Tamandua tetradactyla: one gene and its partners. The protein of the gene in region 2 interacts with the protein of the main gene of each other region in a pairwise test. Links are inferred from orthologs where the notes say so. Each region holds a gene or a part of one and is shown on either strand. Other genes may lie near its edges.

Region 1 (7,392 bases), on a different chromosome or scaffold from region 2:
ACAAAATCAAGCCAGAACCGCTGCTCTGCCTTGACCAAACATGAATATGGAGTGGGAGGTGTTAAAAATTAAACTTGCCTCTTTCTGGTACCACCGTCAAATCTACAATTGCTCAAGCTTTTACCGAGTTCCTGAGCCAATGATGGAATTTTTCCATCGTTGGAAAACCGTGCCTGGGAAACAAGCCGGAACACACTCCAATATTTCTAGTCCCTTTCTCCAGAAAGAGGCTCAGAAAAGTTGAGTGATTTTCCTGAGACCACACAACAATTCAGATTGCAGTGGTCCTGGAGTTCACACCCGTTCTGACGTCCTGCCTGTAAACATGTTGTGATGAAGCTGACACAGATAAACAGGAAACGGCCCTGCTTGTTCCCCAGGCTCCCACTGAGCTGTTTTCTCCTCCTTGCTGTCAGTCTGGGTCTAAACAGCAGCAATTGACCTTAGTAGTATTTTATCTCTAGGGGACTCCTTTTCTCACACCTGATATCAATTTTGTTTCAGGGAAATTCAGCAGGGTAGTAGCAACTGCAGAGTTGCTGCTACATCTGCCCCTGCCCAGAATGAGGAAATCCCCATAAAAAGAGAAAAAATAATAAAGGTCGGTGGAGATGAACAAGCTGCTTAAGGCAGTTTTGTCCACAGAGACAAAGATACCGTCCAGCTTTCCCAATGAAAGCAACGTGGGGTGGTGGGATGAATGAAGGGTGGGAGAATGAATGGAACCAGCAGTTTCCACTTTGGCCTGCAACTATGAGACGGAGACTAGGGAAGTTTCCAAGGTTGCCTCTCATAGACCCCTATCTGGTCAAGGAATCAGACTTTGCTGGCCAGACTCATTCAGAACAAGCCAGAATGAGGGTGAAGTCTGCAGCAGGAGGCTCAACCCCTCTATACAAGAGCATCAATGGACCCTGTTCCCTTCACCATCTCACTTAAAACAGGAACGGCACCTCTTGATGACAGAGTAGGCTCAGGGGTGATATCTGGGAAAGATACCAGGGTTCCCTGGGCCTGGTTAAAATACAAGCTTCCTATGCAGAGACTATCCAAAGGAACTCATCTTTTAGAACTAAGGTTAGTTCCAAACCTCTGAAAAGGCAGCAGCAGAACCAAAGACCACATTTGAAAAACTAGCACAATTTTTTAAAAGTACACACAACAAAAAGTCAGCTGTCTCCCTTCGTGCCGCTCGCCAAGGAATACAGACAAGTAACATATATAGGTAAGAGCACACTCACCTGCGCCCCAGTGGCTTCTTGACTCTGAGTTGCTCAGGCCAAATGAGGAATGTCATTGGCTTATTCTGGGGAACTCCTTAGTGGCTGCTGCCATAGGATACAGGCTTTATTTAATGTAACCTAGTCCTTTCCACTCCCCTAGCCCAGACCCTGCACCCCCTCCAGAGAAAAATCTCTCTGAGGCATCAGTTTCCAAGCCATCTAAGTTCCTTTCTTGGGCTGACATCTCTCTCAGCCCCTTCGTGAGCCAGCTTGAGAAGCCTGAGCCTGCAGTCCCTGTGGCAGCACCAGCAAAGGTGCATTATTTATTCTGGCTGCTGTTTTAATTGATATATATATCAATTAAAATTATATACATATAATATTCACAGCTCAGCAATTGTCTCAGCAACCTCAGGCCAGAAAATAAACGACTCCCAGCTGCATATGAAAGCTCCTTTGGGTTCTGGTTCTAGCTGCCAGCTCAGCATGTGTGCAACTTGAACTGAGGCCCCAAACCTACCGAAGCTCCACTCGCGCCACCTGTCAGTTCTCCACCCTGAGGGTTGGAGCTACGACAGGCAGGCAGGGATCTCTAAGCACTGGCTTAACCTCTGGCTCCACCTAATGGTAAGAAATCCACTGCCCCCTTTCACAGATGGACAAACTGAGCTCCAGGAAGGCCTTCAAAGATCCCAGAGGGAGGAAACTAATTCAGCAACCGAAACTGACCATCACCTGCTTTGCCTCCCACACTGCAATTTTCTCCCATTGCTATCCTACAGGAGGGAAAGTGATGTCAACTTTTTAGTTAGCATCCTGGATTTCTCCAGCCCTTTGTCTGGAACAGCACTTCACACACATTATTCAAACAATCTTCTCAGATGGGTGAGTCACTAGAAACGTCTGCTGAATAATGGGGAACAAACATAGAGGCCTGAAATGCAGCTGAAAGACAGAGGTTCCAATGGTACCTGCATCCACCCAGGGTTCTAACCCAACATCCGCTCATCCTCTCTGACCTTAGTCTCCTTTTCCCATCACTTTTATCCTGTCAGAGCACTTCCACGAGGGTTGGGGAAAGCTAAGTCGCTGGCTGAGCTTTCCAGGGGAGGGTCTGAGCTCACCTTTAAATCAGGAGGCTTGCTTCGGGGACCCGGGTTGGGCGCCGCGGCAGCACCCACATCTGAAGTTGGTCCGCCAGCGGAGTTAGCACCCGTGCCCTCCCCAGGACGGAGGTCTGCGCCCGGCAGGTGGCAAGCAGCATCTTCCAGCCCAGCTCCATCCTCCTCGCACTGTTGTTGCTGAAGCTCGTCGGATTTGCACCTCTTCATGGTGTATGTGGGTCGGCAAGGGGAATCTGTCCTTCCAGCGCGCCGGCTTGGGGGAAGACCGCACCCCCTCTTACTCTCAGAAATGAGGCCGGGGGTTTAAATTATTAGCAAGGGCGTGGGTGGGAGTGTAATTTTTTAAATTAAAAAAATATATATTAAAAAAGAGGATGTGGAAGGGGCGAGGAAAGGGAGCCTTGGTTACAGCTTGGAATAGTTCACTACGACCTGAGGAGTAGCAGACAGGTCACAATCGAGGCTGGGCAGCAGGAGTCCTTGGGCAGTCATTGGCGGGGGAGGGGCAAGACTGCCCCCGACCCCCAAACTTTCTGCTTCAGGCATGGACAGGGCGGGTGGGTGCTGTGCTGCACAGCGCATCCCTCCCGGCGGGCCAAGCTGCTGGGCGAGGCAGAGCATGGGACAGTCAGCCAGGCAGGTCCTCGTCCGCCGCTCTCTGAGCCAGCTGCAGTCCCGGCCTCGCCGCGCGCCCCCACCCCGCCCCGCCCCGGCCGGCCGCGGAGCCCGCAACGCGCCCGGCCCCCTCCCCCTCCCCCTCCCCCTCCCGCCCAGCAGCCCGCCGCGAAGCCGCGGCCCGCGCCAGAGCCGGGCGGCGAGCGCGCAACCTACCCCGCCCCTCCGTCTGCCTCCGCCGGGGCGGAGGGGGGGGAGGGGGGAAGGAGAGACAAGGAGGGAGTGACAACGGCAACGAGCCAATGGGAAGCCCGAAGGGCTGCGGGCGCGTCTCTCGCCGACGTTTGTAGGATTGGTTGCACTGTGAGATTTCCCCTGGAGAGATCTGGAGGGCGATGCTGCTGCGTTTTAGCATTGCGGAGAGCGGGCTGCGGAGTAGGGGCGGGGGCGGTGGGCGATGGCCGCGCGATTTTAGCAGCTGCTTGAGGGACCCTCTCCGAGAGGGCACTCATGGGATTCCCCCCACCCACTCATTTTACATGGCGTAGAGGAGGCACAACAGGGATGTGTATCATCACTGCCCTTTTTTTGCTCTAACTTTGCACGTTAGATTATATACATCCCTTCAATAAGAAAGAAACTGAGCCCCTCGCGTGCACTTGACCTGAGTACATTTTGAGCTGCAAATGCAACGGGAGGAAGGTGTTCTTCTGCCCCTTCTCCCCTCCCCCCACTTTAGTACTTATCCCAAATGATTCATTGCTTATCTTTATGCTCAGATATTGGAAAATGCTTCTTAAACACAATAATGTATGTAAGCGTTCCTTGCAAACCGTAAAGCATCATTTAAATAAGAAAGGGTTATTCATGGCAGGAGGTCTAAACATTTGGAAGAGTGGGAAAGGAATGTCTCTTTTTCTGTAAGCCTCTGTCAAACTGTGCTGAGCAACCAGTAGGCAGAAGAAAGCAAGTGCTGGGCTTATCACGACAGGGAACCTAGTAATAATAGCCCCACCCAAGTGCCTGCTGCACGCCTATTGTGGCAAGATGGGTTTTGCCCACCCAGCAGCCTAGACCAGTGGGTCTAAGGGTCGTCCCCCGACTGACTGGCAGCACCTCAGGTTTGATGGAAATGAAAACTATCAGGGACCACCCAGATTTACTGAATCAGAAATAGTGGGCTCAGAAAGCTCTTAAGCCCTCCAGATGTCATGCTGATGCACGCTAAAATTTGGGGACCGTTGGCCTAAACTGTGGTGAAGGGACCACTCAGACTGAAGGGACCACTGGATCTCTGAGTCACAGTGATGATGTCTAAAGAATTTTACAGTTTACCGATCTCTTTCATGCCATTCCAGTCTCACTTCAGTTCTGCTAGTCTTGAGTTTCCTGGCTTTCAATTCTGTCTTCTTCCGGCTCCAAACACTCATATTAATGTGTATCTTATGAGGGACTAAATGGTTAAGAATTTACTTCAGAAAGGCAGCTACCTTCTAAACCAGGCAGCTACATTTTTAGAAAATAGAAATTTAGGATGGGCTGGGATTGTAGAACCCCCCCCAACCCCCCACCCCAGTACCAAGCACAATGTAGAAACACAAAGCTCTGTGCTTTCTACATTTTCTGTGGTGAGGAAAAGGCAAAATGCCAGTGTTGACAGTGGCGGGATTTAGGACTAGCCCCCCCCAACCCCCCCAACCCTCACCCCACCCCCACCCCGCTTCCACCCCAGGCAGGTCTTGAATAGCAGGCAGTGGCCAGCACGTGGTGAGCACGTGTTAGCACATGTTCAAGACCTGACTCTAAATTGAAGAAAATGGATGGAATTAGGCTTGAATTTTTAAAGATGCAGAGACCATTATCATTTTGAATCATTCCTCATTTCTCTGCTACACTGAATTTGACTTTAAGTTTGATTTTAATATTTTCATATACACATGGCATGATGGCCAAATTTCCAATTTGTGGTCATATTTAGCAAGGTGTGATGCACCTCCACAAAAAAGTCTGGTGTGTTCCCTGAAATCAGCTAATACTTGACTTCCATTTTGGATAGGCAGTGTAACATAATGTTTCAAAGTTCAGATTCTGTAGTAACAATGTTTGGGGACAAATCCTGGTTCTTCTATCCCAGATCATGTGTCTGGGGGCAAGTTATCTAATCTTTTTAGATCCTAGTTTCCTGAGGGAAATGACAGTACCTAGCTCAGAGGGTGTTGGGTGATATATAGATAAAGCACTTAGAACATTGCCTGGCATAGACTGAGGCCTATAGTTATTATCGCAGTTGTCATCTAGCTTCAAAAGGGCTCCACGTTCCACTCTAATAGTTCTATCCGTGAGAATTCAGATGCGTCCCACACATTTCCGACTTTCACTGAGTATCACTTATTGAACAAATATGTTGCTGTCAAAGATGTTTGAGTGGGAAGTCTGTGTAGAGACCTGTGTGACCTACAATTTGCAGATTTGCAATGCAAGAGATGATGTTCAGCATGTAGAAATAAATAGCATTCTCCATTTTGTTTTTGGCAGAACTAGTTAATCACAGATAAATAGCATGGTGTAGTGGGAAGAATACTGGTCTTGGTGTCAGAAAAATTCATGTAAGAATTCTGGTACTGTTTCTTCTGGTGTGTTCTTGGACAACCAAATGATTGAACTTCTGTCAACTTTGGCTTTCTTATCTAGAAATAGGTGCTAATAATACCTAACCCCATGGAGTTTTCGGGAGGATTAAACTAGATAATGCATGTGAAAACGCTTAACACATGGCCCACCATAGAGTTACTTGATAGAATGTGCTCACATAATACACGGTCAGTAAACCTGAATGAAAGAAATCATTAACAAACTTGCCCAGGCCTCCTGTCGCCACGCAAGAAAAGCAGAATTATGCCACAAAGCTTACTGCTTTTTGTGAACGGAGATCCAAGTTAGGCTAATGAAAGCTCCCCTCCCCCAAACCAGTACATCAATAAACAAGAAGATAAAGAGCAGGGTTAAAGAATCCAGCTCCCTGTCAAAAGCCCGTTCATAAAATTTGATAAACTGATGAAGTGTTATTATAGAGGATAAGGTGCCAAGAGCAACTGTATAAGGTAGATTTTTTTTTTCCGTTTTGTAAAAGCAGTCAAGTCTCAGAAGCAGACTCTCTTTTTGCCAATAGCAAGAGGCTTGTAGATTATCTCAAGATTTTTTTTGTCCTCTGTAGGAATTTTTAAAAAAAAAACAAAGACGTGTTTTAAATATCAAATGAGTAGATAGAGAGCTATTTTAAGATTTAACATACTGTGTACAGTGCTTGGAAGTTACAAGTATTCTCTAGAGGAACTAGATATAATAATTTTGACCACTGTATTTTAATACTAACATCATTATAAATATTCCTTTGTTAATGTCACTTTATTCTCTTTCTGCTGGAGATTCCCACATCCATTCAAAGCTCTCCCTAAAAGAAACTGGGTTCCCTTGAATCAGAAGGAGTAAACTATGTAAATGATCACCAAGGAGATTGGCTGGATTGTTGCTGACATCACAATCCCACCACCTAAATTCGAGCTTATTATTGGCTTTTATAAGAAGCAGGGAGGGGGCGGCTAGGAAGACTCTGCATCACTCCTGAGGTGGAGAAAGGTCTGCGCTGCTAAAGATTTATCAGTTGTCTGGGTGGTGGCCGATCATCTTCAGTGATTCCACATCAGTATCTAGCATGGAACTTTCTGGCCCCTAAAATGACTTCATTTATTATTCTAGAACCTAGGATTTTATTTTCCAATCTAAAAATGTATTTGCTATTTTATCAGGAGAGAATGCAGGTGGCGATATCAGGTAGGGAATGTGGGAGTTCTTCTAAACCATCTGGAGGATTTTTCAGCTGCTTTCATGTTTGGCATAAATTGTTTTTTTTCTTCCCTGAGCAACCATAAACCTAAATTGTGCTGCTTATAAAGGTTATTGCTGTTTTTGTTATCATCCATCCTTTTCACTGTTAAGTATCCAGAAACCTCATAAAAGTAATACATATTCTTCAAAGAATATTTGAAAAACTCAGAAAAGTTAAAAAATGAAAATAAGCTCTGTCCAAATATAAACAATGTTTACATTCTTGAGAGGTCGTTCTGTTCTTTAAATAGGTGGAGTTTTAAAAAATAGAACTGTAATCTAAATATAGAATTGTATATTTTATTGTCTTATTTAAAATAAATGCATTTTCCATATATTATTACTTTTTCCATATGTTATTATGTCAGACATATTTTAATATGTATAAGTAAACATTTTTGATGACTTCTTAATATTATATCAAGCGAATATATCATGGTTTATTTCACCACTATTCACCTTATTCTTAGATGCTTGGTTGTTTCAATTTTTTTGCTTTTAGAAATATCTCAATTACTATATTTATGCTTAAATTTTATATATTT
Region 2 (7,412 bases):
TTCTGCCTTCTCCTTTAAAGCCTTCAGCTAATTAGATTAAATGGCACTGATTCTAGAAGACACTCTCCTTGGTCAACTGCAGATGTAATCAGACATGAATGCAATCAACATGCTGATGATTTAATAAACTAGCACAAAATGTCCTTGCACTAATAATTAGGTGAGTGCATGTTTGACCAGACAGCTGGGGACCATCACCTGGCCAAGGTGACACATGAACCTAATCATATCATCCATTTGGAATCTTATTTTTATTCATCTTTCTTCTTCAAAATTTTGTTTCAATAGGAACGAAAGGTAAACCACACATACTTTACTGAATCTTGAAGTTCACACGTAGAATACCCTTATTTTTTGGCCTAATTTTCTCAAGTACTATTGCTAAAACTCTTTTCCTTATTTTCTCAATATAATCTTACAATTTAAAATTACTTCTTCAGCAACTCTGCTAGACAGGTATCACAGAAGTAGAACTATTTGTGTCCTACAAAAATTCAAAAATTCTTTCATTTTTGTTTTGCTTTAGTATGTCTTGGATCTGATGGGGCCCTAAAGTCTTTTTTTTTTTTTTCTTCTCAGTACACCACCTAATTTCAATGATGAATCAAAGTTTGGGAACTATTATCTTAGATCACAAATCTCATTTGTAATCTGCAGCATTGAGGTGCGCAAAGAAAAATCACGGCCTTTAGACTAGATTCCCATTGCAATTTAGGAGCCACATGGCCTTGAACAAATTTCTTCATTCTCAAGTTTTCTCACTAGTCAACAATCTGTGCTCCCAAGATTATGTACAAAACATTATTTGGCTGTGCCTGGAGTACAGCAGGAAATTGCTGCTGTAAGAAAAAAGAGCTTTGTCATACTTGTTTCTAAATGCAAAAAAAACTAAGCCTTAATACACTGGACGGCACATAGGCACATAATATATAATGTACACACATTAAGTTACATATTTTTTTAGTGATAGGATACCTGGTCAAAAGTTGAGACCACTAGTTAATGTTAACTTCATCCACACCTTCAATTCTTCTCAACATAGATAGGAAAGAACGTTCAAAATGTGTTATGACAAAATAGTTCATAAAGAACTAAAACAAGAAAACAGGTTTGATTAAGACAGAAATAGCTGCTGATGTGGTCAAGTTGAGGGGCTGGAAATCCACTCTGGTGGAAAATTATCTGGGTTCAAATTCTCTTTCCCATAGCTGCTACACCTAGACCAAACTTCAACCATGTCAGGGTTTCCATATTAAATCTGATACTAAATATCTACTAATTGCCAGGCACTATTAGGTACCACCCATCACCCACACCACTAGTGATCACCTGAATCAACTAAAGTGCATCAAGTGCAAAGGACAGTCTGACAATATGGCAGACATTCTGAAGTATTGATTTTTATACAGCAGCATCTGGAGGTGGGCAACCTATCTTCAAATCCTGTCACTTCCCATATTACTCAACACCACTCTTCTTCAACTGCAAAAAGTAAATAATACCTAGCTCTGAGGATGACTAAATTGTGACACACACACCCTACCCCCAAAGGCATGATCAGGTCCTAATCCCTAGTCTTATGGGTGTGAACCCACTTTTTTTTATAAGTAGGAACTTTGAATCAGCATGAATCTTTATCCAGTACATCTGAAATCCTCATAAGCAAAGGAAATGACAAAGAAAGAAACCCAGGATACAGCCAGAAACTTAAGTCAAGGGAACCCAGAGGAGAAAGGTGCCACTGTATGCATTACCACATGACAGAAAAGGAACCCCAAGGTTGCCAGCCTGCTAGAAGATACCCACCCAGGGAGGAAGCAAACCATCTAGACATGTAGACAGCACATTGTATGGTAATTGTTTCAGCAGCTAGGAGACTAAAACAGGTCGGTTGAAAGATTAGCAATATTTTGCCTTGGATTTTCCCCTCATTATGAAATAGTCTTGAAAACCGGAAATGCTTATGTCAGGAACTACATTTTTCTACCATGAATGAAGAACTCTACTTGACCACTATAAACTGATTGTTTGAAAGGCAAAATATGGCTACTTGATTTTTCAATTCTTAAACTGCAGGTAAGTGTAAACCCTTGACTTTGTACCAGCATAGATCATTTATGTAATAAAGCTAAAATCAATGTGAATATACATCAACATACAAACCTCATTTCCCAAAATTATCTGTGGGTTACTTTAGAGAACTCACTAAATAAATAAATACACACTAGGCATTCATTTATATATTTTTATTTGGAAATGTTTCTATCAGTACAGTGAAATTAAATTTAAGAGACATTGGATTACCATTAGTTTATTATAAAAGAGAGAGATGAAAATTATTTACATGATGGAAGATTTCAGAACTTCGGTGGAATGGGGAGCGTCACATGATGCCATTTCAATACTGAGCTATTTCACTCTACATACTTCCCAAGAATATCAGCATCTCTAAATAAGAAATAATCCTGCAAACAGAAAAATCATTAAGTTAAGACAGTTAACAGCAAATATTTAACCTCTTTTAAAAGTTACTTTATGTTACACACCTTGTCACCTAGAACTACTTTGGTGCCTCCATATTCTGGGAGAAGAACTTTATCTCCAACCTTCACACTAACTGGTTGAATCTCTCCACCCTAAACAGAAGGACATTTATGAGCAAAGACATGGAGTTCAGCAAACATTTACGCTTTAAATTAATCACATGTTCACTCAAATCAAATGCTAAAAATGCATTTAATGGCCAAGTGATATAATGAAGTGGCTTAAGTCATAAATATTAAGTGTAGAGTTATAATTTGAAATAAACCTTACAGTAGCTTAAACTAAATTAAATTGGGAGAGCTAGCTTTAGCAATTAAAGATAACTTTATAATTGCCAAATACTGTACTATGTTAGTAGCCTATGGGCTGCCAAATGAAACAGTTTTTATAACCATATGCAGCAAAACGATCAATTACAACATACAAAAGTTTAAAAGAACTTTTCTATATTTAGAATATACAATCCTTTTTTGTTATTCTACTTCCTCTCTTCGAATATTATATATTCAGTAAAAGGGACTAAAGCAGAGAGTACCCAGAACCTCCCTACTCCTAACTCCAGACAGTTCTTTGCAAGTAACTTCTAAGAGTTAACCAGAACATCGCATTTAACTTATTTGACCCAAAAGACATTTACTGTGTGTATTGTGGCTGACAGGTCTGAAGTTGAGCCAGAAAACTGAAAAATATCTGAAAGGATAATCCAACCCGTTCCTTTCATAAGGTAAGCCAACTGTGGCCCCAAGGCGTTAAAATAGTACGGCAATTCCAATGTTAGTCAGCAAAAATTAATGCACTTTCAACCCTCATTTACCTTTCCTTTAGATCCCGATCCAACAGCTACTACTGTTCCTTGCAATACTTTTCCTTGAGATTTTTCTGGAAGCATAATGCCTCCTTTGCTTACAGTTTCGGCCGCACACCTTTCAACCAATACTCGGTCCAAGAGGGGAAGAAACTTTCTAAATGCCTGTCCCGCCTGCAGGGAAAAAAAATTTAAACTTGCGGCAGAAACTATACGTAATTATATTCTGAACAAACAAAACCACAGTAACCATTGCATCTCAAACAGGAACCACAGTTTTAAAAGATTAACACCATAATTCACATTCTTAATTCGAGAACACATTTGAGTGTTCGGGCCTACATTCTACGTTAATTCCCCATTCTCTATATAATTAAAGGTCGCTGTTGCTCCTTTGGCCAGATTGGCATTAAAAAGCAACCTTGTTACTCCAAGGTCAGATATTTTCCTTATTTATATTTTTCTAGAAATGCTCAGGCCATGGAGTAAACCCTCCTTCTAAGACCACGCTCTTTTTCCAAGGGTTTACACACCCGCAAAGGCCCCGCAGGAAAAGTCAGCCGCCGCACGTGCGTCCCCGTTCCCGCCCCCTGTACCGCACGCGTGTCGCACCAGGACACTCATGCGAAGAGCCCACGGAGGAAGAAAAGGTCGGCGGATCCTTCGCTCTCGACCCTAGTCTTGGGCACCGTGACAGTCCAGGGTGCAAGCGAGGGAAGGACACCGAATGACCCCTACCCCTCTGGCCAGAGCCCAAGCCACGGTACTGGCTACCGAGCTCTTCGAACCGACCGGGACCACAGAACTCCAGCCTACGCGGGACCCACCATGGCTCCGGTTGCCTTAACTCGTACTCTGCTCCCGCGCCACCACCGCCGCAAGGAGAGGAACCACGGCCCGACCCTAGGAATACGAGAACGTGGAGAAAAGATGTCCAACGCGCAAGCGCGCTCGGCCTCCGACGCCCCGTCCTGCGAGAGAGGGCGGGCGCACAACGCGGGCCGTGATTCGTCCGAGAATGCTGCGCAGGTCGCTGACGCGCGGACAGGAGGGCAGAAGAAAAGAGGAGCTATTTCTAGGCTTTTCTAGGCTGCCTGCCGAGGTAAAAGAATTATCCCTTCGCCCCTCCCGGAAATGACGCAATTTAACCCTTGACCCGCGCGGAGAGCGCGGCGCTTTCCGGAAAGTTCTGGAACGCTGTTTGGCCTGGGAACAAGCCTAAGCCGGCTCGAGAGGGCTGAGCCCCCTGATCTGGCTTTAGCGGGTAGGGATGGGCGGGGCCCACGTATAGCGCGTGCTGATTGCAGGGCCTCCGCCGGGCTAGGGGGCGGGAGCCGGCTGCACATGCGGTGCTGCGGAGCGGGAGGGGCGCGGAGGGAGGGGACACGGGCTCATTGCCGTGTGCGTTCTGCGTTCTGTCCCTCACTCGCCGCTGACGGCCTGCCTCTCCGTCTGCCCGCCCGGCCTTTGCCCCGCAGGTATCCTGCCGGCCCGTGCCGCCTCATCTTGCCGACTCTGGTTTCTTAGCCAGGCTTTTACGGCTGCGGCCCGGCCTGAGTCAGGTGTTGGGAAAGAGCAAGGGCTTCCCGATGGCGCTGCAGGCCCAGGCCTGCTAGGCCAGGCCACGAGGGCCCATGCGGGATCCCATCACGTGGGGCATGGAGTGCGGGACTCCAGGGAGGGCCTAGTTGGCGGGTGGAATTTAGGGAGTTTTAGTTTCGTGGGCCCTCGGTGCAACTCGCTTTGGGTTAACTGCAACGCGCGGGAGAGGGTGGTCGTAGCCGCGTGGAAATCGCTTTTTGCCTCGCGGTCAGCATGGGTACAGCGTCTACACCCTTGACCTTGCTGGGGGCGTCCTGATGAGAGACGTGGGGCCGCGCGGGGTGGGATGGACTGTCTGCCCCCAGCATCGCGGCCTTTTTGGTTCTCAGATACTGTAGCCTCGGGTGGATACATGGAGATACTTACGCTTGAGAGGTCCTTTGCCCTGCCAGGAATATTTTTCGCTTCCATGGTCACTTGGATTTGTAACCTGCCCTTCTCCTGCAGACTTTGTTTTCCAGGGGCTTATTTGGGGTGCATTTGCCTTCGGGGCAGTTTTAACGGTGAAAAGCGAGTTAGTTTTTAGGCATGTGTGGGTAGCTGTTCGGAATGAGATGAATGTGTTGTGCGCTGGTGGTATCGGTCGGACGTTGGGGCGGCTTCACCCTTTAAGCTAGTAGGTAGTGTGCTCTAACCGTGGCTCAGGCAGCATGGCTGGCGGGTGTCTTCCCAGCTCACACTTAATGTTTCATGTTTTATTGCACAGGTAGCGTGTTGTTTGCTGCAACACACTCATGTAGTGATGTAGTGTTAGTACTGATCATCTGCTTGTTTTCTCTCCTAGAAATGCTTCGATTACCCGCAGTCCTTCGCCAGATAAGGCCAGTGTCCAGGGCATTGGCTCCTCATCTCACTCGGGCTTATGCCAAAGATGTAAAATTTGGTGCAGATGCCCGAGCCTTAATGCTTCAAGGTGTAGACCTTTTAGCCGATGCTGTAGCCGTTACTATGGGGCCAAAGGTACCAGTGTTTTATTATAGTTATAACATTAATTAAGGAATAATGTTCTACTGATGGGAAGTCATGAAGTACTGAATACTTTGGTATTCGTTGAAAAAAATCTCACATATAAAAGTTCCAGTTTTTTGATGACTTTTTTTCTTAGCTAAAATGTCTTAAGCTCTTCAACCCAATTTTCAAAACTATATTTTGTGCAAATGTACAATGTAATGAAGTGTTAGCTCAGCTCAGTATTTTTCTTTTCGTTCGTTTTTTTTTTTTTGTGCTTGGGCAGGCACCGCGAATCGAACTTGGGTCTCCGTTCTCCCGCTTGGCAGGCGAGAATTCCCGCTGAGCCATCGTTGCACCGCCCCAGAGAACTAATCTTGCTTGCTAGCTTGAGTTAAATTTTGGATTTTCCCAGGAAGAATGCTAATTATAGAAAGAAGAGTGTAACTTTTCTACCATAATACCTCAAGTATACACTTACAGGGACTAGTTGTACCCAGTTTTTTCCTGCTGTTCCAAAGGGCATTTAAAATTCTAAATCTTGTTCACGCTGAAGTTATTGGTGAGTGCAGATAATAAGTGATTGCAGGTAGCCTTCATTTCATATTGAAGATAATTCAAATATTAAAGTGATCCAAACAACTGCATAAAATACGACACTTGCATTCCCCATGTAAAAGGAGCAGTTTTTACTGGCTTAAATCCAAAAGCTGCCAATCTTGTTGCATCATGCTTGAGGTTTAATATTGAAGAAACTTGGAAGAACACATTGCTCCTGGCTGACTCGGTATGTTAGTAATTAGATTTTGAAATGTCATCATTTTAAAAGATAGCAGTCACTAACTAAAACTAAGGTATAAATGTTTTGAAGAATACTATCATTGTTATCTACTAACTTGGTGTTGGTTATCCTGTACTTATTTGTTTTGAAAGATGACATCTGGTCCCTAGAATTATCTCCCATAGTACCTCATCCAAAGTTATGCACTTGACTGAGCAACAGAGAGGTCATTTTGTCTGTAAACTAAGAACATGGAGGAATTTGCCCTTGAGTTTCTTGCTATAGCCCTGTTAAAAATGATACAACTTATGTTGAGGCTTTCAAGTAGTTCCTGTATTATGAAACTGTTCATTGTCTAAGCCTCTGCAGTTTGTGATCCTCTCACCTTTTATTCTTTGCGATTTTAGGGAAGAACAGTGATTATTGAACAGAGTTGGGGAAGTCCCAAAGTAACAAAAGATGGTGTGACCGTTGCAAAGTCAATTGACTTGAAGGATAAATATAAAAATATTGGTGCTAAACTTGTTCAAGATGTTGCAAATAACACAAACGAAGAGGCTGGGGATGGTACCACCACTGCTACTGTCCTGGCACGCTCTATTGCCAAGGAGGGCTTTGAGAAGATTAGTAAAGGTGCTAATCCAGTGGAAATCAGGAGAGGTAAGAAAATTACAGTGTTTTGAACTTAGTTTTCATAAGAAAACATTGATTCCCTGTCCCTGCACATAAAAT
Region 3 (7,014 bases), on a different chromosome or scaffold from region 2:
AAAGCTTGGTATTTCACATAGGACTGTCCTGGTCTGGGAGAGGACGGGGAGTCCTGCCCGAAGGGGATGGTGCCCCTCACAGCAGGGGGAGGCCTGGGCCGTAGGAGCCCGGCTGCTTTTCACAAGCTGCAGGTAAAGAACCAGGGACGCGGCCATTCAACATGACCAAGCCACAGCAGTGGTACAACCAGGACTGAGGCCCAGATTTCCCGGCATCAGGCGCGATTTTATTTACTAGAGAACATCATAAACTGATGTGCAGCGGAAACAAGGCTGCTGGTTTGCTTCCAAGCGCTGCCTAAGGCGCTATGAAGATTCCAGCCGCTGAACGGGACTCCCGGCTCTGACGCCTACTCGTCCAGCGATGCCGGGAAATTATTCTGAGTTCTCTTTGAAGTCCTCTCCCTTCCGTGGTGGGGAAGGGGCGAAAGCGTGCAACAGGAACTTCACCAAAACTTCATGTTGAAGAGTGTGTTTTTATGTAGCTATGCCAAAGCAGAGTTTAGGAGAAGTCCTTCAAATAAATCAGATTCCAGAAAAAAGAAATTTGCTCACCCCCAATCCAATCCTTCTATCCTACCTGCCCCCTCCATGTCCCAATTATCCAAGCATCCTAGAAATGAAATTACTTAAACCCAGCTTTCCAACATCGTATTGTTCATCAAAGAGAAAGAGAAAAATAAACATCACCACAGATATAAGCTTTAAAATTTAAAATAAAAGTAGACTGGATTTCACCAAATCTCAAGTATTATTTTTAAAAGATTTGTCTACGGCAATGATCTAACCTTAGAAATCCTGCAGAATGCTTGGGATGATCCCGGGGTTTTGTAAGATGAAATTTTTAATTTTTTATTTCCTACTAGCATTCCTTTTCACTGCAGAAATCAATGATAAAAAGCAAACAAACAGAAGACACCTCCAAACCTCATAGCTTTTCTCTGCTGCCACAGACTTCTCGGTGTGATCTCTGTGGCACCTGCCCTAGTGCTTAGTATTCCAGGGATACCGGGAGCAAACTGAAGCCCATCGTGGCAAGAGCGTTTAGCAAATTACATTGTGGAGATCTCTAGAGAGTATAAATTAGTTACCACAGGGAATCCTTGGCAACCACCAGCTAACTAACCATTTAGTAAATAAATAAACAGCTTTGGGAAAATCAAAGAAGCAGCCGAAGATGCCTTTCCCAGCCCCGAGTTGTATTCCCCCCCCCCCCCCCCGGGGTCATTTCTGCCCATCTCCCATGCCTGTCCCCAGCTGGGCAGAGAAGACCCACCTGCTGCTGGCTACCCCAGGAGCTGGGGCCGGGCAGAGAAGACCCACCTGCTGCTGGCTACCCCAGGAGCTGGGGCCGGTGTGCATCGAGTGAGGGATTTTTAAAAGTCCCCCATCCTTCCAAATACACACCGTGTCTCGATTCATAAAACGTTGCTAAAGTGTCCTGAATCTGCAACCCAGCAGTAAATAGCTGTGGCTGTTCATGGGGTCTGAGGCCGGGCACCATGCTGCGGGCAGGCAGGGCACTCACCCTGGGCAGAGCACTCCCCCCGGGATAGGACACTCACCCCGGGCAGGCAGGGCACTCACCCCAGGGCCGGGCACTCACCCCCGGGCAGGCAGGGCACTCACCCTGGGCAGGACACTCACCCTGGGCAGAGCACTCCCCCCGGGATAGGGCACTCACCCTGGGCAGGACACTCACCCCTGGGCAGAGCACTGCCCCCGGACAGGACACTCACCCCCGGGCAGGCAGGGCACTCACCCCAGGGCCGGGCACTCACCCCGGGGCAGGCAGGACACTCACCCAGGGCAGGACACTCACCCCCGGACAGGGCACTCACCCCCAGGCCACCGTCCACGGCCGAGCCGGTGCTCCAGGGCGTGGCGGCCCCCGCATACCCGCGCTGTTGTGCCTGTGTTTTTTCACCAGATCCATCAGAACTGCCTGATGCCCAATCTTCTTCACCAATTGCTGAACCATCCGGTCATTAAGAGCTAGCAGAGCAGCCCCACTCACTTCTTCCTCTGGGAAAAAGAAAATATATATATCCGCGCCTCCTCCGCGGAGGTGCCCTAACCCTAACCCTAACCCTAACCCGACCCGGCTGTGATGGGAAGCCCACCGCCGCCTCAGCCGCCACCCCCACCCCCGTCTTCATAACAGGCAGTGGTTTTCCGAGGAAAGAAAGTGTGGGCCACTGTTCTTAGTAGTAGGACTTCAACACTACACAAAAAATAGTGCTGCCTCGTCAAAGAATAAAAGCAATTCAAACGCACTTACCACTTGTCTTTTAAATAACTTAGGAGTTTATCTAACTGCTTGAAAGTTCTTATATTCCTGTGGAGGCTCAAATTGAAACTCCTGCTATAAATAAAGAAATGGAAGTTTCCTCCTGTCCGGACGCCACATCCAAATGCACAAGTGCACACGCGTACATACACACACACGAGGCAGTGAAATCAACATTCAACAACAGAGGACACTCAGAATGTCTGGGAGGCCCCATAACTCGTGTCTTTCTAAGTGTAAGCAGCTCACCTTGAAACCTGTGAACCAGCTCTCCCAAGCTTTTCTCCACCAGCCAACTGCAGACTTGATCAACTGACCACGTTTCCATCGCAGCCTCCTGCCACTCCACCCGCAGAGTGGACACCAGGCCAGGGGGGGAGTCTTCAGTCTTCCCTTCTCCTCTGTCTTCTCTCACGTTTTCCCAGCGGTCAGCTCTCTTTTTCAGTTCCCTCCTTTGCCAGACTCTTGCAAACTCTCAATTTTAAGGGTCTTCAAAATGACTATTTTTATAATACACAAAGTTGCTGGCTCATAGAGCAAATACTCAGTTAAAAACGAAGGCTGATTTTAGCCTATTTCCACCTCCTATTTCTCAAATTTCCTCGCTTCTTCCCCACAGGCATCCCTCAGCTTCACTAACCGGCAGCCACAGCCCTGCAAGGCATCCAGTCCCGCACCACTCGCACCAGGTTTCTTCACAGAGAAAGAAAAGTGTGAAATTCACCACTGCAGGGCTCTCAGGAAGTGGCTGACATTCACAAAAGGGTGTGCAGGGGAGGGAGGATCCGAGAAAAGCCTGAAGGAGACAGTCAGCCAGCTGCTTAACCCTTGGCAGCTGCTGCAGGAGAAGAGCTGACATCGGCTTCTCTGGCTTCCCTTTAGCAAGAGGGGGCAACAGGCACTAAAGTTTTTAGGAGACTCTGAATGTTTCTATCCTCTCTTCCATATTCCCTTCAGTTCTAGACCTTTATTGAACACTCTTAGGATTGGCAAGATAACTGGGAAAAGCGAGCACATTGCTGGAAAACTTTTTATTTGTTCATCTGGGAAGATTCAAAGCAGAAAATCATTAGGTACTTTAATTGTTGCCTAAATGAAAGCAATGTATACAGAATTTGCAAAATATATTCTTTGTCCACTTATTTTTGCATGATACTGTTCTGCATATACTTAGAAAATTTCAAGCAATAATACAATATTTTTTTCCATTTCCTTTAGGCAGCTCATTACTTGTTTTTAGAAGGGTTTAAGAGACTGGGGGGAAACTGAAAAACATAAAACATTTAAATCTTTCAACATAACTTTTCAATTTCATCCTGCAATCTAAATGATAGACATTCACTTGTACAGCAAAACACTTTTTATAAAGACTGAGGAAAAAACTATGTTTGGAGAAGTGAGATAGGAAAGAGAAAAAATGTTTATTAGTGCACATATTTAAATGTCATTGCTAGAAGTTTTAAAAATCACTGTTATTGTATTTTTCACCTCTGTGTATTTAAATAAGTTTCCATTTCCAACGTCATGGTTACAATGATGGAAAACGAAAACATGTTTATCATTTCATACTTGACAGTATGACAAGGTAACAGCCTTCAAAAATCATTTCCTAGAAATCTTGTAACAGGTATGCTTCAAAGTAACAAGTACAGTTCAAAGGAATAACCCACACTCTCATAAGTATTCACAAACACCCAGCTGAAAAGTTAAAAACAAGGGTTAAATACAGAAGAGTTTTTTTTCTGAATTACAGCAGTGGATTTAATTTGCTACACAACAGCAACCACACAACTCCTCTCCTGGCTAAGCAGCTGTAGCAGGGTGTGAAAAGTCATTATTTGTGAGGCTCTGGTGTAAATTAAAAATCACACCTTTCTGTCACACTTCTGGCTTCCTTGTGAAGAGAAGGACATAGAAAAAAATAGAAAAGAAAGAAAAAAGAAAACACTTCTTTGAACTCCAAGATTCAAAGGTGCGCCAGGCAGAAGACACTGCCCAGCAGGCAGCAAAGGGCAAAGGGACATTTGAAAATAAGATGAGCTACTGGAAACCCTCACATATTTTTTCATTCCCCAATTTTCACCCAATTCTATATTTGGGAAAGAAAACCCCATAAAAACATAATAAGAAAATAGTATAGCATTTGCCCTTAATTATTCTCAATATTTAAGAAAATGAAATAACAGACAAGGCAGCATATTAAAGCCAGGAGCGACCTTAGAACTTCCTCTCAAGTAAATAATGGAGAGATTATTTATGATCCTCTACTCCCTAAAGAGGGAAAAGGATGCATCAAATGAGAAAAAAAAATGCATCCAGCAGCTTTATTCTGAGTTTCAGAAACTTTCAAAATGTGAGGGCAAGCATTATCCCTAAGTATTTCAAGCGAATTAACACTAGCATTGTGTAAATACTCCAGTCAAAGCCATTCTTGTGATGTGATTAAAGTAAACTTCAATCAAAGACATTGGTATCAAATATGAGAAGGTATTATCTGATGAAAGCCAGGAAAAGGTAAGACTTGGGTTAAAGCTACCTAAATATGGGCAAGTTTTATTAAAACTCTAAAGGAGGGTAATAAGGAAACTGTGAGTGTGCTGTGAATGCGGCCTCCAGTGAGATATACAGGTGCTTTTCAAGAACATATAGAGATACTGCGGTCGGGCCGGGTGTGCAGTTCAGGACGCGAGCGTGCAGGAGACACACACCAGGAGGGAGGTGAGCGCTGGGTGTCCCAGGACAGGTCCCAGGTCCTTGCCTTGTCAGGACTAGGAGGGGCGGCAGAGGGCCAGGGGCGGCAGAGGGCCAGGGGCGTGTGTGCGCGCGCGCGCATAGGGAAGTAGGTGTGCGCGCGGCCGAAAGGGGCTTTCTGTCGGGGCCTTAGGGTCACTCCCCTCCTGCTCCCTTTAACCTGCCCCAGCAGGTTCCAGACTTTCCCCAGCGGGACAGAGCTCTTTCTTTTCTTTCTCTTTTTTTACATGGGCAGGCACCGGGAATCGAACCCGGGCCACCGTGGCCCGCCCCAGAGCTCTTCCTTGCACTAAGATGTGTATGGGAAGGGAAGGGCAAGCCTCGCCTCGCCTGAGCATTCCTTCAGTCTAGAAAAGATATCTGCTTGTATTCAGCTCTTAAACACTTGTTTTTGGCTGGTGTGTTTACCGTTTTTTGTATATGTCAGCTGTCCACGTCCATTTATTTGCGTCAGTTTCGTGGCCTGTAAGACTAGACCAGATGAGCCCTAAAATCTGTGCAGCCTTGGGGTCCGGGCGCCCTGCCGTGCCTTGGGCACGCGCGGAAGCAAGGCGCGCGCTTTCCTCTGCGCGTCAGGTGAGGGAGGGACATTTACCTGGCCGACCGACAGGTGGGGCCCAGGGGGCTGCCACTTTCGTACAAGTGCGAGTCACAACCCGGAAGTGCGTCTGGCTGAACATGTTGATTAAAGCCTGGATTGGGGGAAAACGACTAAAACTTGGTAGTTTTCTTCAGCCAAACGGATGTCGTCCGTCATGCACAACATTCCCAAGAACCTGAAGGTGAGGGGAAGTGGGACGTGACAGTAAATAACATTTTATAGCTTTTATAGTTATAGTTTGCAAATTTACGATTTGTCTGGGAGGTTCAATTAAATCCATGGGAAAAGACAGCAAAAAGGCAGAGCCCGGCCAGCATGGTCATCCGGCCTGTGATCCCGCCCCGCCCCGACGCACCCCACCCACCCCATCCCATCCAGCCACACCCACCACTCCCCCGCCACGCCCCATCCAGCCCTGCCGCGCTCTGCCCCATCTGCTACGCCCACCACTCCCCCCCCACGCCACGCCAGCCACACTTCACCAGGCCCCGCCCCCTCCAGCCACGCCCCATCCAGTCCCATCCAGTCTCGTCCCACCCCGTCCAGTCCCATCTCAAACGGCTAATGAATTTTGATGATTTATACAGAAAATAAGAGTACTATGCAGCTATGAACATTTGTGTTTTAGAATAATAATATGGAGGAACTGTCATGAAATATACTTAGGTGAAAATAGGTTTTAAAATAAATATGATTCAGTTCCGTGGAAAGAGTAAAATTAAAATAGACTAAAGTGTATGTGTAGCCCAAAGACTGTTAAAACATGTACTGATAGGTGACAGAAGTTTTCTCTGTCTGGTGAAATTCATGCATTTTGTTGTAGACTTTGCTTCTCTCAAAATGTCCCAATGAAAGATTTTTATTTTTATTATCAGGAAAGTTATACTTTTAAAGACAATATGTAACTTAAGTTACACATTTGTCCCATAGATTTGCTTTAGGGTATGTCTACAGGCTATTAAACTTTAGAAAAGTCATTTTCCCTTGAAAAATTAAAAGTTCTGAGCATGGAATGAGACTCCATATAAGTATTTTTAATCATTTCCAGTGATTCTTACGAGCAGCAAAGCGTGAGAACTGGCACGTGTGTTTTTTTGTTTTGTCTTTTCTGAATGGCATCAGCCAGGTGGGTGGCCGCTCTTGAAAGAAAGCAAACCTCTCTTTGCAGGTGCCGGGTGGATGCCAGAGGGCGGAAACAGGTGGTCCCAGGTGGCTGGAACTTGTCACCTCTGAAGGGAGAAGGTTTTGAGAGGTGGCATATATATGGATATGCGCATATATGTGTAGTTGCATAATAATGTGTTTTTGAAGACAATTATTCATTAATTGACTTTTTAAAAAACTCCTAGAGGAAACAATACTGAAAACATTT

What was found.
Region 1: the proteins of HSPD1 (region 2) and TMCC2 interact in a two-hybrid assay, tested with the Homo sapiens proteins (2 studies listed by BioGRID). The two-hybrid records come from large-scale screens. The link is inferred for Tamandua tetradactyla from reciprocal best matches to the Homo sapiens genes HSPD1 and TMCC2.
Region 3: the proteins of HSPD1 (region 2) and SAMD3 interact in binary tests that used the Homo sapiens proteins (3 or more experiments, as listed by UniProt). The two-hybrid records come from large-scale screens. The link is inferred for Tamandua tetradactyla from reciprocal best matches to the Homo sapiens genes HSPD1 and SAMD3.

The regions. Positions count from the first base shown.
Region 1 is NC_135330.1:62,986,035-62,993,426, reverse strand, and holds the start of TMCC2 (transmembrane and coiled-coil domains protein 2), read right to left. Parts: upstream 3,008-7,392; 5' UTR 2,555-3,007; coding exon 2,348-2,554; intron 2,324-2,347; exon of another isoform or gene 1,242-2,323; intron 1-1,241.
Region 2 is NC_135329.1:171,757,423-171,764,834, reverse strand, and holds the start of HSPD1 (60 kDa heat shock protein, mitochondrial), read left to right. Parts: upstream 1-4,335; 5' UTR 4,336-4,451; exon of another isoform or gene 4,452-4,472; intron 4,473-4,480; exon of another isoform or gene 4,481-4,613; intron 4,614-4,695; exon of another isoform or gene 4,696-4,827; intron 4,828-5,735; 5' UTR 5,736-5,737; coding exon 5,738-5,911; intron 5,912-7,087; coding exon 7,088-7,340; intron 7,341-7,412. Other genes in the region: HSPE1 (10 kDa heat shock protein, mitochondrial), read right to left, coding at 2,415-2,465, 2,547-2,636, 3,359-3,523, 4,177-4,179. UniProt on the Homo sapiens protein: Chaperonin implicated in mitochondrial protein import and macromolecular assembly. Together with Hsp10, facilitates the correct folding of imported proteins.
Region 3 is NC_135331.1:191,690,602-191,697,615, forward strand, and holds the start of SAMD3 (sterile alpha motif domain-containing protein 3), read right to left. Parts: upstream 3,018-7,014; 5' UTR 2,619-3,017; coding exon 2,540-2,618; intron 2,026-2,539; coding exon 1,842-2,025; intron 1-1,841.